2 linked regions of the Oryzias latipes genome follow. The protein of the gene in region 1 purifies or fractionates together with the protein of each later gene. This does not show direct contact. Links are inferred from orthologs where the notes say so. Each region holds a gene or a part of one and is shown on either strand. Other genes may lie near its edges.

Region 1 (3,513 bases):
ACCGATTCTTTGATGAGCTCTGGCAGCATCTCAGTGAAACACGCAAACATGTCAAACATAATTATCAGCATGAAGACGTAAAGATGATGTCACATAGCCACTACATACATTTTGAACATACTGCACGGATGAAAATTGGTCCAAAATCACGCAAAGAACACGTTAACCAACGTAAAAGCCACACGATACTCCAATTGTGCATGATTATTGTGCTGTTTATTTGTAATTATTTGGTGTGTCAATTACGTAAATTTAGCGTGTTATGTGTACGTGATATAAAAGTTATACATCGATGGTACATGCATTAAAAGCATGTGAGACATGCGTGGAACAGTTGTGGAAAGCCACAAATCTGCCTATGCATCTCGCAAAAATCACGCACGTAGAATGCGTAGAATTTATGAAATGACTGTGTTATTCTCAACCAACCAAAACTGTGGAACAGTGCAAAACGGAGCTCACATAAAGACGCATCAGCTGACATCTTTGACGGACATCTGCGCACATTGTTGAACGACAAACGCAAGAAACACTTATGAATGATGTAGATCACGCATGGATTACAGAGGAAAGAAATGTCATATGTGGACAATAAGCAAAATGGAAGTAGTGGCTGTCTGACACGGCCTTAAAACTGGAAGTCCATCAGAGCCTGACTGTTTCAACATAAAGACCTAACTTGTGCATTTGAGCCTGAAGTTGTGCATCTTTGTGAGCCAAACTACTTCACATTGTGTTTGGTCCATTAAGAACAGGTTTTGATAAAAACAACTGCATTTCTGTTCATGTTCCAGGTTTCAGTCATGAAGATCTTTGTGCAGGATGGCGTCCAGCGCCCAGACTCTCAGGTGCAGCTGAAGATCTGAAGCTCAGACATAACGCTGCATTTAACAGGAACAGCTAAGGAAAATTCCAAAGTCCTCCTCCTCCTTACAGAGATCACACCACACACTGGTCATGTGATCGTCTTATGCTTCAGATCATTTTGCGCCACAGCTGCAGTAAAACCAGAAGAGGTCACCTGAGCCCATTGTCTTCCTCAGCAGAGATGAAGGGGGACATGTGAGCGTGTGATCACCCTGCAGGGATCCGACCCAGACTCAGATGAGCCGCCGGTTGTCCAGGTGATCATACAAAAAGGGCGCCCCAGATTGTTTGCTTGTGCCATTTCCAGGAAAGCTCCGCCCCCCACAGATCACAGCGAGGTTTCACAGGAAAAGCTGACAGATGGCTCCAGGAGGACTGTCCTGGTCTTTATTTCTTCAGGAGGGGGCTGTTGGAAGAAATTAGCAGTTTCTCAACAAGTAATCAGCAGAACTTTACCTCAGGAGCACAAAGAGACCACAGGGTCCTGTTGTTTGGTCCAAACCAGAGTTCAGATGAACCTTCAAACCTGCTAAAGCAGGACCATTACCAGAAACTGGCTTTGGATCTGACTAAGATCAGCTCTTGACCAGACTATAACCAGCACTGGACCAGATAGGGGTCAGGCCAAGACTAAACCTGGGCCAGACCTTGATCAAATCAGGATAAGCTCTGAACTAGACCAGGACCAGACCAGGAACAGAACCAGCACTTGATCAGACCTAAATCCAGTTGTGTAAATAATGCGCCATGAGTTAAAACCCATTCCTGCACTGTAGATAGTGTATGTAAACACTGGACACATTTTTTTAATTCCCGAGAATTTTGCTTGTTTTTGGGAAAAGTGTTTTGAAAAATATTTATGATTCTTTGAACTCGTCATTGTGACTCAGAAAAAGTTCTGCTTAATGTCGTTTTTACGAATGTCATGAATCAATTTGTCAGGGAGGGCTCACACAGAGACATGAACGCTTTCACTGCACAGATTGACCTTTCAGGGTTCCTGCTGAAGACAGAAACAAGCTGAAGAGGCCCTTTCTCTGCAGACTCACCATCTGCAGCTCACTGCTCACAGCGCCGCCAGCTCCCACGTTCACGCTGTGTCTCTTCAGGTCCGACTTGATTAAAGCTGGAATAGGAAGGCAGGCGGCAGCTTTAGCATTTTCTGTGACAGGCACGCACATGTGCACATACACACACAGCTCACCACTGAGAATAGCTCCCCCAAAGATCCAGGCGCACAGGAAGAGATTTCCAGTGAGTGGGTCGTAGTCTGTGGTCAGTTTGCCCTGAATGAGAGTGAATAGGATCCCAAAGATCTGCAAATAAACACACACAGGAGACATTTACAGCTTATCTGAAACACGTCTCTTGGCTCCTTAGAAGACATCTCTTTTTACAAAGTTCAGAATAGTTTCAGACAAAATTAGAAGATCTTCTGCAGGTAAGACACGTACCTGAGCAAAAGCATTGAGGAGGCCAGAAGACGTTCCTTCAGACTCTGGGTAAGTGATCTCTACTCCAAACTCGAAGCCGAGTGGTAAGTATCCCGTCATGAAGAAGCTGAAACACAGGACCATTTTTCTGATGTCAGTTTTGTGGTACAGGGGGGTCAACCGCTGATAGGACGGAGGTTTGCGGGATCGGCTCCCGCCTCTGTGTCAACGTTTCATTGGGAAGACACTGAATCCCACGTTGCCCATGGTGGTTATAGGTCTGTGCCAGTGTTCAGCAGTGGACCCGCCATCACCGAATTTCCCAAGCTGGGACCAACCAATAAGGTATCTTTATCTGATCAGTGTATGAGTGTGTGTGGATGAATGGGACTCTGGGCCTTGATCAAAATAGAATGTATCCGTCTTTTTCCTTTACATCTCCCATTTGTGAGCTCCTGATTTATGAAAATAAGAAAACCACATGCTTCATGCCACAGCTTTTATATTTAAGAGGAGAACAGACTCAGAACCTGTTAGTCCAGTTTTTGTTCAAGCAACCGACATCCACCCACAGCATTTGAATAAAAAAATAAAACACTGTTCAGTTCATGTTCAGTTAAGAGTGTCTGCAGAAATGTTGCCTAAAATCCTCATGTTTGAACTCCTGAAGGAGATCTTCAGGAGGTTGGGCAGAGAACCAACGTTAACCGTTCATCATTTTCTACCTAGTTATAAAAATGACATAAAACAGAACTCTGCTGTATATTAGAGACTAACATTTTGTCAGGAATCCCATGGGTCACGGGATTCCTGTGGGATGGTAGTCATCCGTTTCACTAACCACAGAGTTGGGACGCTACAGGTTAAAATAGTGGGGCCAACCAATAAGCAAGGCAACAAAACAGTAAAGACAGAGCCTTTTTTAGTTTTCTGGTAATAATTTAAGCCATTAAAAATGCACATCAACCAGAAGACCCCAGTGCTTTTATTCACGGTTTCTCTCGCTGTAATTCTAAGTGCAGCAATGGAGGGAGCCGCCATCCACGGCTAGTTTGATTAAGGAAAAATTGACATAAGAACAACAAAGACATATCTATAGTTCAAGGAGCTTGTAGGAAAGTTGGATATATTGAGTCGAGTGCGACGGTGATACCACGTCATGTGAAGCTTGTGGAACACGTCTTATCATAGTAAAGTACACCAGTCTCTTTGG
Region 2 (4,278 bases), on another chromosome or scaffold:
ACATTCCTTCGCCCATAAATGCTGCACCAGGATTTTCAAGGGACTGTCACACAGATTGGTTGGATGTCATGTCGACGAATATGAAAAACAAATCAAAGCAAATCCCTTAAGTAAAATTAAAAAAGCTATTGAAACGTCAGCGCAGGACTGAAGTACATACCTTAATTTCAGGAGTGCTGAATACATGCTGACAGAATGGGACTTTAATCTATTGCACCACAAGGAGAGACAAACTTGGTGGGCGAACAGACATATATTGAATGTCAATGGTACTGTACATAGATTGTATATCTAGTTTTAACAGCCTTATTTTACTGGATTTGATGCATTTATGACAGAAGTACTGCAAAATGTAAGAAACTAATACAGCACAACTGTTTTCTTGGGAACACTAGCACTGAAAAGAGGTAGTCTCGCCACAAAAGCATTTATTTTGATGACTGTATTGTATATGATGTAAAAAAAGTGTTGAGAGTTTTAGCTACAGATGTTGATGACCCATGTGTTTGGTTTTCCAAGGTGTCTGGATAAACGTAATGGTTCTATAAACCCCTAAGCTTTTCCAGCTATTATCTGCTTTCACGTCAGTCAAAGATGCTTCTGTAGACACCCTGAGATACTAAAGCATGTCATGTCTGTTTCTATGAAAAGTCCTGTAAAATGCTGCTGAGCTACTGACCCATCTTAGATGCGATGTGTATGTATATTTTATGGTTTTGTACATCTAATAAAATTGTAAATAAAGATAGGACTCATATTCATCATTTCCTTAATTACCAGAAAAGAACCTTATTGTTTAGTGTGCACAAATTTCATTTGACATTAGAGTTTAGTATGCAACTGTTTGTCTATATTTGTCTGCTTAAGAAAAACACCAAATAAATCATTACTTGATTTAACTTGCAACACATTATTTAGCCAAAACAAGGTGCATTTTTTAAAGAAAATACAAATATAGGAAAGCTTATGCAGCACAAAAAATAGACCAAGTAACAAATTAAACATAAAAAACAAAATCAGTTAAGGTTAAGCTTTTTTTTATTTTAGACAATTATTAAAAACTTTGCTTCAAATGTGATGACTTTTTTTAAAAATAAATATGTAGTAAATCTGTGTTGTGTGCAAGATACTTTTTAAAGTTACTTCTTTAAAAATAAGCAGTACTTTGTAAAATTTTCACCAAAATAAATAAACCCTTTAAGTGGAAGACGGGTTTAGACGGCTGTCGTCAGTCATTTTAGATCTCCATCTCATTCTGTTGTATTTTTCGTACATGATCATGGCAGTTTAACAAACATGATTTATATAAAAACATAGAAACTAATAAGTACAAAGTAAAAATATTTTTAAAATCCCCTAAATATGTCATGTTTCAAATTCAAAAGACAAATTGTAAACCTCAATAGTTCTTGAAATAAAAAAAAATGTAATATTTCAAATGTCCGCGTCTTAATGTTTGCGGAAGTGAGCCTCTATTTCCGGAAATGACAAGTCAGCTGATGTAGAATCTGCTTATCCTCTACTTGGCTCTACGGCGGACGGCGTCGTTTCTTAGGGTGCATTCGTCTTTTCTCCTTTGTCCCGCAAAAAGAGTCCAGCAGGGTTTGAGTTACTGCGACGATGAAGCTGGTGTTAGCTGCCGAGGCTGCGTGTTTGGCGTGTTTGGTGCTGCTGAGCCAAGCAGCAGCAGCAAAGGTAAGGCTAATGCTAGGCTAATGCTAGCTGACAGCACACAAAACATGGGCGAGTAGCTTACTAAACAGGAATTACACGTCTTAAAATTCTGTCAGCGACAGACACCTTCCCCTTTTTGTTGCTCGCGTGCTTGGTCAGATAGATAGATAGATAGATAGATGGATAGATAGATAGATAGATAGATAGATAGATAGATAGATAGATAGATAGATAGATAGATAGATAGATAGATAGATAGATAGATAGAGATAAAAATGTTGTCATGATTAATTTCTGTTAAGACTTCCTTACTAAAATGTTAATAAATGTGCTATTTCTGATCAGTTGAACATTTTTTTCCTTCTCTACCGAGTTACAGAAAATCTACCTTTATTAAACACAGCAAACGCCAGAAAACAACTGTCCCCCCTTTTTCTTTCATAAAAGCAGACATTAAAGGGAATCTTTGCTATTTCAAAACTACATTTATATGTCAGAAGAATAATAATAAAAACATAAACAGGTACACCAAAGCGAAACAGAAATGCTGCCAACATCCATCAGAACTATTATTTTGGAAACTTTTTTTGTTGCTACTTTGGTGTTATGTACCTGGAAGCTGGATTCCTGTGTTTTTAGTCTCAAGTCTTTTGATTTCTTTTGGCAGCATGTTGTTTCATCATAGAAACTCATACTGTGTATGTAATTATTCCAGAACATCGTTGGTTTTAGCTAAGAAGATCTAAAGCCACCATGCAGTCTTAGGAAAACACTCATTTTTACATTAAAAATCTTTAAGATCCAAGATTTTTATTTTAGCAAGATTTTGAACTATTTCAATAAATAGTAATTACTTCAGTTGTATTATTTTATCCTGTTATTGCTTTGCAAATCTATTTTTTGGTAAACTACAAGTTATAAACTTAATTTTTTGATATTCTTAAAGCTGCTGTGATAACATCACACAAACATGTCAAAACAAATGTCTGAGTTCAATCGACTGCTGCATTTAAAACTTAAACACCTGCTTGACGTAACTTTTACAGAATTCCGAAGACGTTCGCTGTAAGTGTATCTGTCCACCTTACAGAGGCTATGAGGGACATATCTACAAACAAAATGTGTCTCTCAAAGACTGGTATGTAACCAAATGCCATTGTATGTTCCCCCCCCCCCCTTGCTGAATCTTTATCATATGGATGATTTTGTCTCTTAAGTAACTGCCTCCATGTGGTGGAACCGATGCCAGTGGACGGCAAAGATGTGGAGGCCTACTGTCTGCGCTGTGAATGTAAATATGAAGAGAGGAGCTCAGGGACTATAAAGGTGAAGTCAGATTATTGATTTATTTTTTATAAAGTGTCTCTCAGACTGTGTGTGTGCTGGTTTGTCTCTGTATGTACCCTAAAAATGTAGATCTTTTCTGCCTTTAACCCCATGTTTGCTGGGATGGACTCCAGCAACCCCTGTGACCCAATTTAGGACACAGAGGGTTCAGATTAAGGATGTATAAAGTTTTTGATTATTCTTTACATTGCAAACATTTCCTTTTTTTTAAAATACTAATTTGTAGATTTTTTAAAAGCTGGTATTCTCCCTTTTTATCTTGCATATAAACAACAGGGGTATTTTATTTTTTATATGTGACAGTTTCTGACTTTGCACTACTTTTGTATGAAAAGTATTTATATTTATAGTTAAATATAAATATATAAAGAAGTTTAATTTGATCAAATTCAAGGTTATGGAAAATACTTGCTCAACGTTAAATGTGAGGCATGCTATGATTTCTGAGTATGTTTTTTGTTCTCCCTTCTCATGTATTTAGTTTACCATCATCATGTACCTGTCCATTTTGGGCCTGCTACTGCTCTACATGGTGTACCTGACTCTGCTGGAGCCCATGTTGAAGAGGCGGCTGTTTGGACACTCGCAGCTTATCCAAAGTGACGATGATGCTGGGGTAAGTGTTCCTAGCAACATTCAGGAGTCTCAAGGGCAATATGTATAGTTGTTTAATTTTTTTTTTCTGTGAATTTTAGCAGGTTTGATACTTTGAATGGTCATAGTCACAAGACTTGATCAGTAAATGTTCTCCCTTTGCACCAACCATCACGTGGAAGTTTTTCATGCAGTACGAGTAAAATTTAACAAGCTCTTGTAAATCAGTGCCGTACTTTCCCACTCCTTGGGAGGCTCTGAGAAATAGAAATCTGTGCAATCATGCAAAGAAATGTAATTAGGTTGCCCTCTAACAAGTTTGGACTCCTTTGCATGCACTGTAATTTACCAAAATATGTTATTTTCATGCAGATTTTACAAAAAATTAAATGCGATATTCTAGCAACATTGGCTCAGATTGCGGCAGTAGTTCTGTAGAATTGTGGTGAAACTGGAAAGTGTGTCATCTATACATTTAGATACTGTGTTGCGTTCACTTAAGGACTGCCTCCAGCAATCTGGCCAAGCTTGGAGCATTTCCTGGACTCACATCCAGAACCTCTTACTACTGTGCTGCTGTGAATCACATCACATTATCTTTGGTTTAAAATGGAAAAGTTTTACATCGACGGGACTCAATTTTTTGCCTCAGGGATGGACTAG

Evidence for each region. Proteins that work in one complex are often made in the same cells at the same time.
Region 2: the proteins of flvcr1 (region 1) and tmem9b purify together in Homo sapiens (co-immunoprecipitation; 3 studies listed by BioGRID and IntAct, counting the BioPlex papers as one, with this or other methods). This does not show direct contact. The link is inferred for Oryzias latipes from reciprocal best matches to the Homo sapiens genes FLVCR1 and TMEM9B.

What each region holds. Positions count from the first base shown.
Region 1 is NC_019882.2:23,314,816-23,318,328, forward strand, and holds part of flvcr1 (feline leukemia virus subgroup C receptor-related protein 1), read right to left. Parts: intron 2,428-3,513; coding exon 2,322-2,427; intron 2,184-2,321; coding exon 2,072-2,183; intron 1,994-2,071; coding exon 1,917-1,993; intron 1,274-1,916; coding exon 1,196-1,273; 3' UTR 1-1,195.
Region 2 is NC_019861.2:19,775,383-19,779,660, reverse strand, and holds the start of tmem9b (transmembrane protein 9B), read left to right. Parts: upstream 1-1,469; 5' UTR 1,470-1,620; coding exon 1,621-1,695; intron 1,696-2,720; coding exon 2,721-2,812; intron 2,813-2,891; coding exon 2,892-3,000; intron 3,001-3,502; coding exon 3,503-3,637; intron 3,638-4,278. Other genes in the region: scube2 (signal peptide, CUB and EGF-like domain-containing protein 2), read left to right, coding at 1-18. UniProt on the Homo sapiens protein: Enhances production of pro-inflammatory cytokines induced by TNF, IL1B, and TLR ligands. Has a role in TNF activation of both the NF-kappaB and MAPK pathways.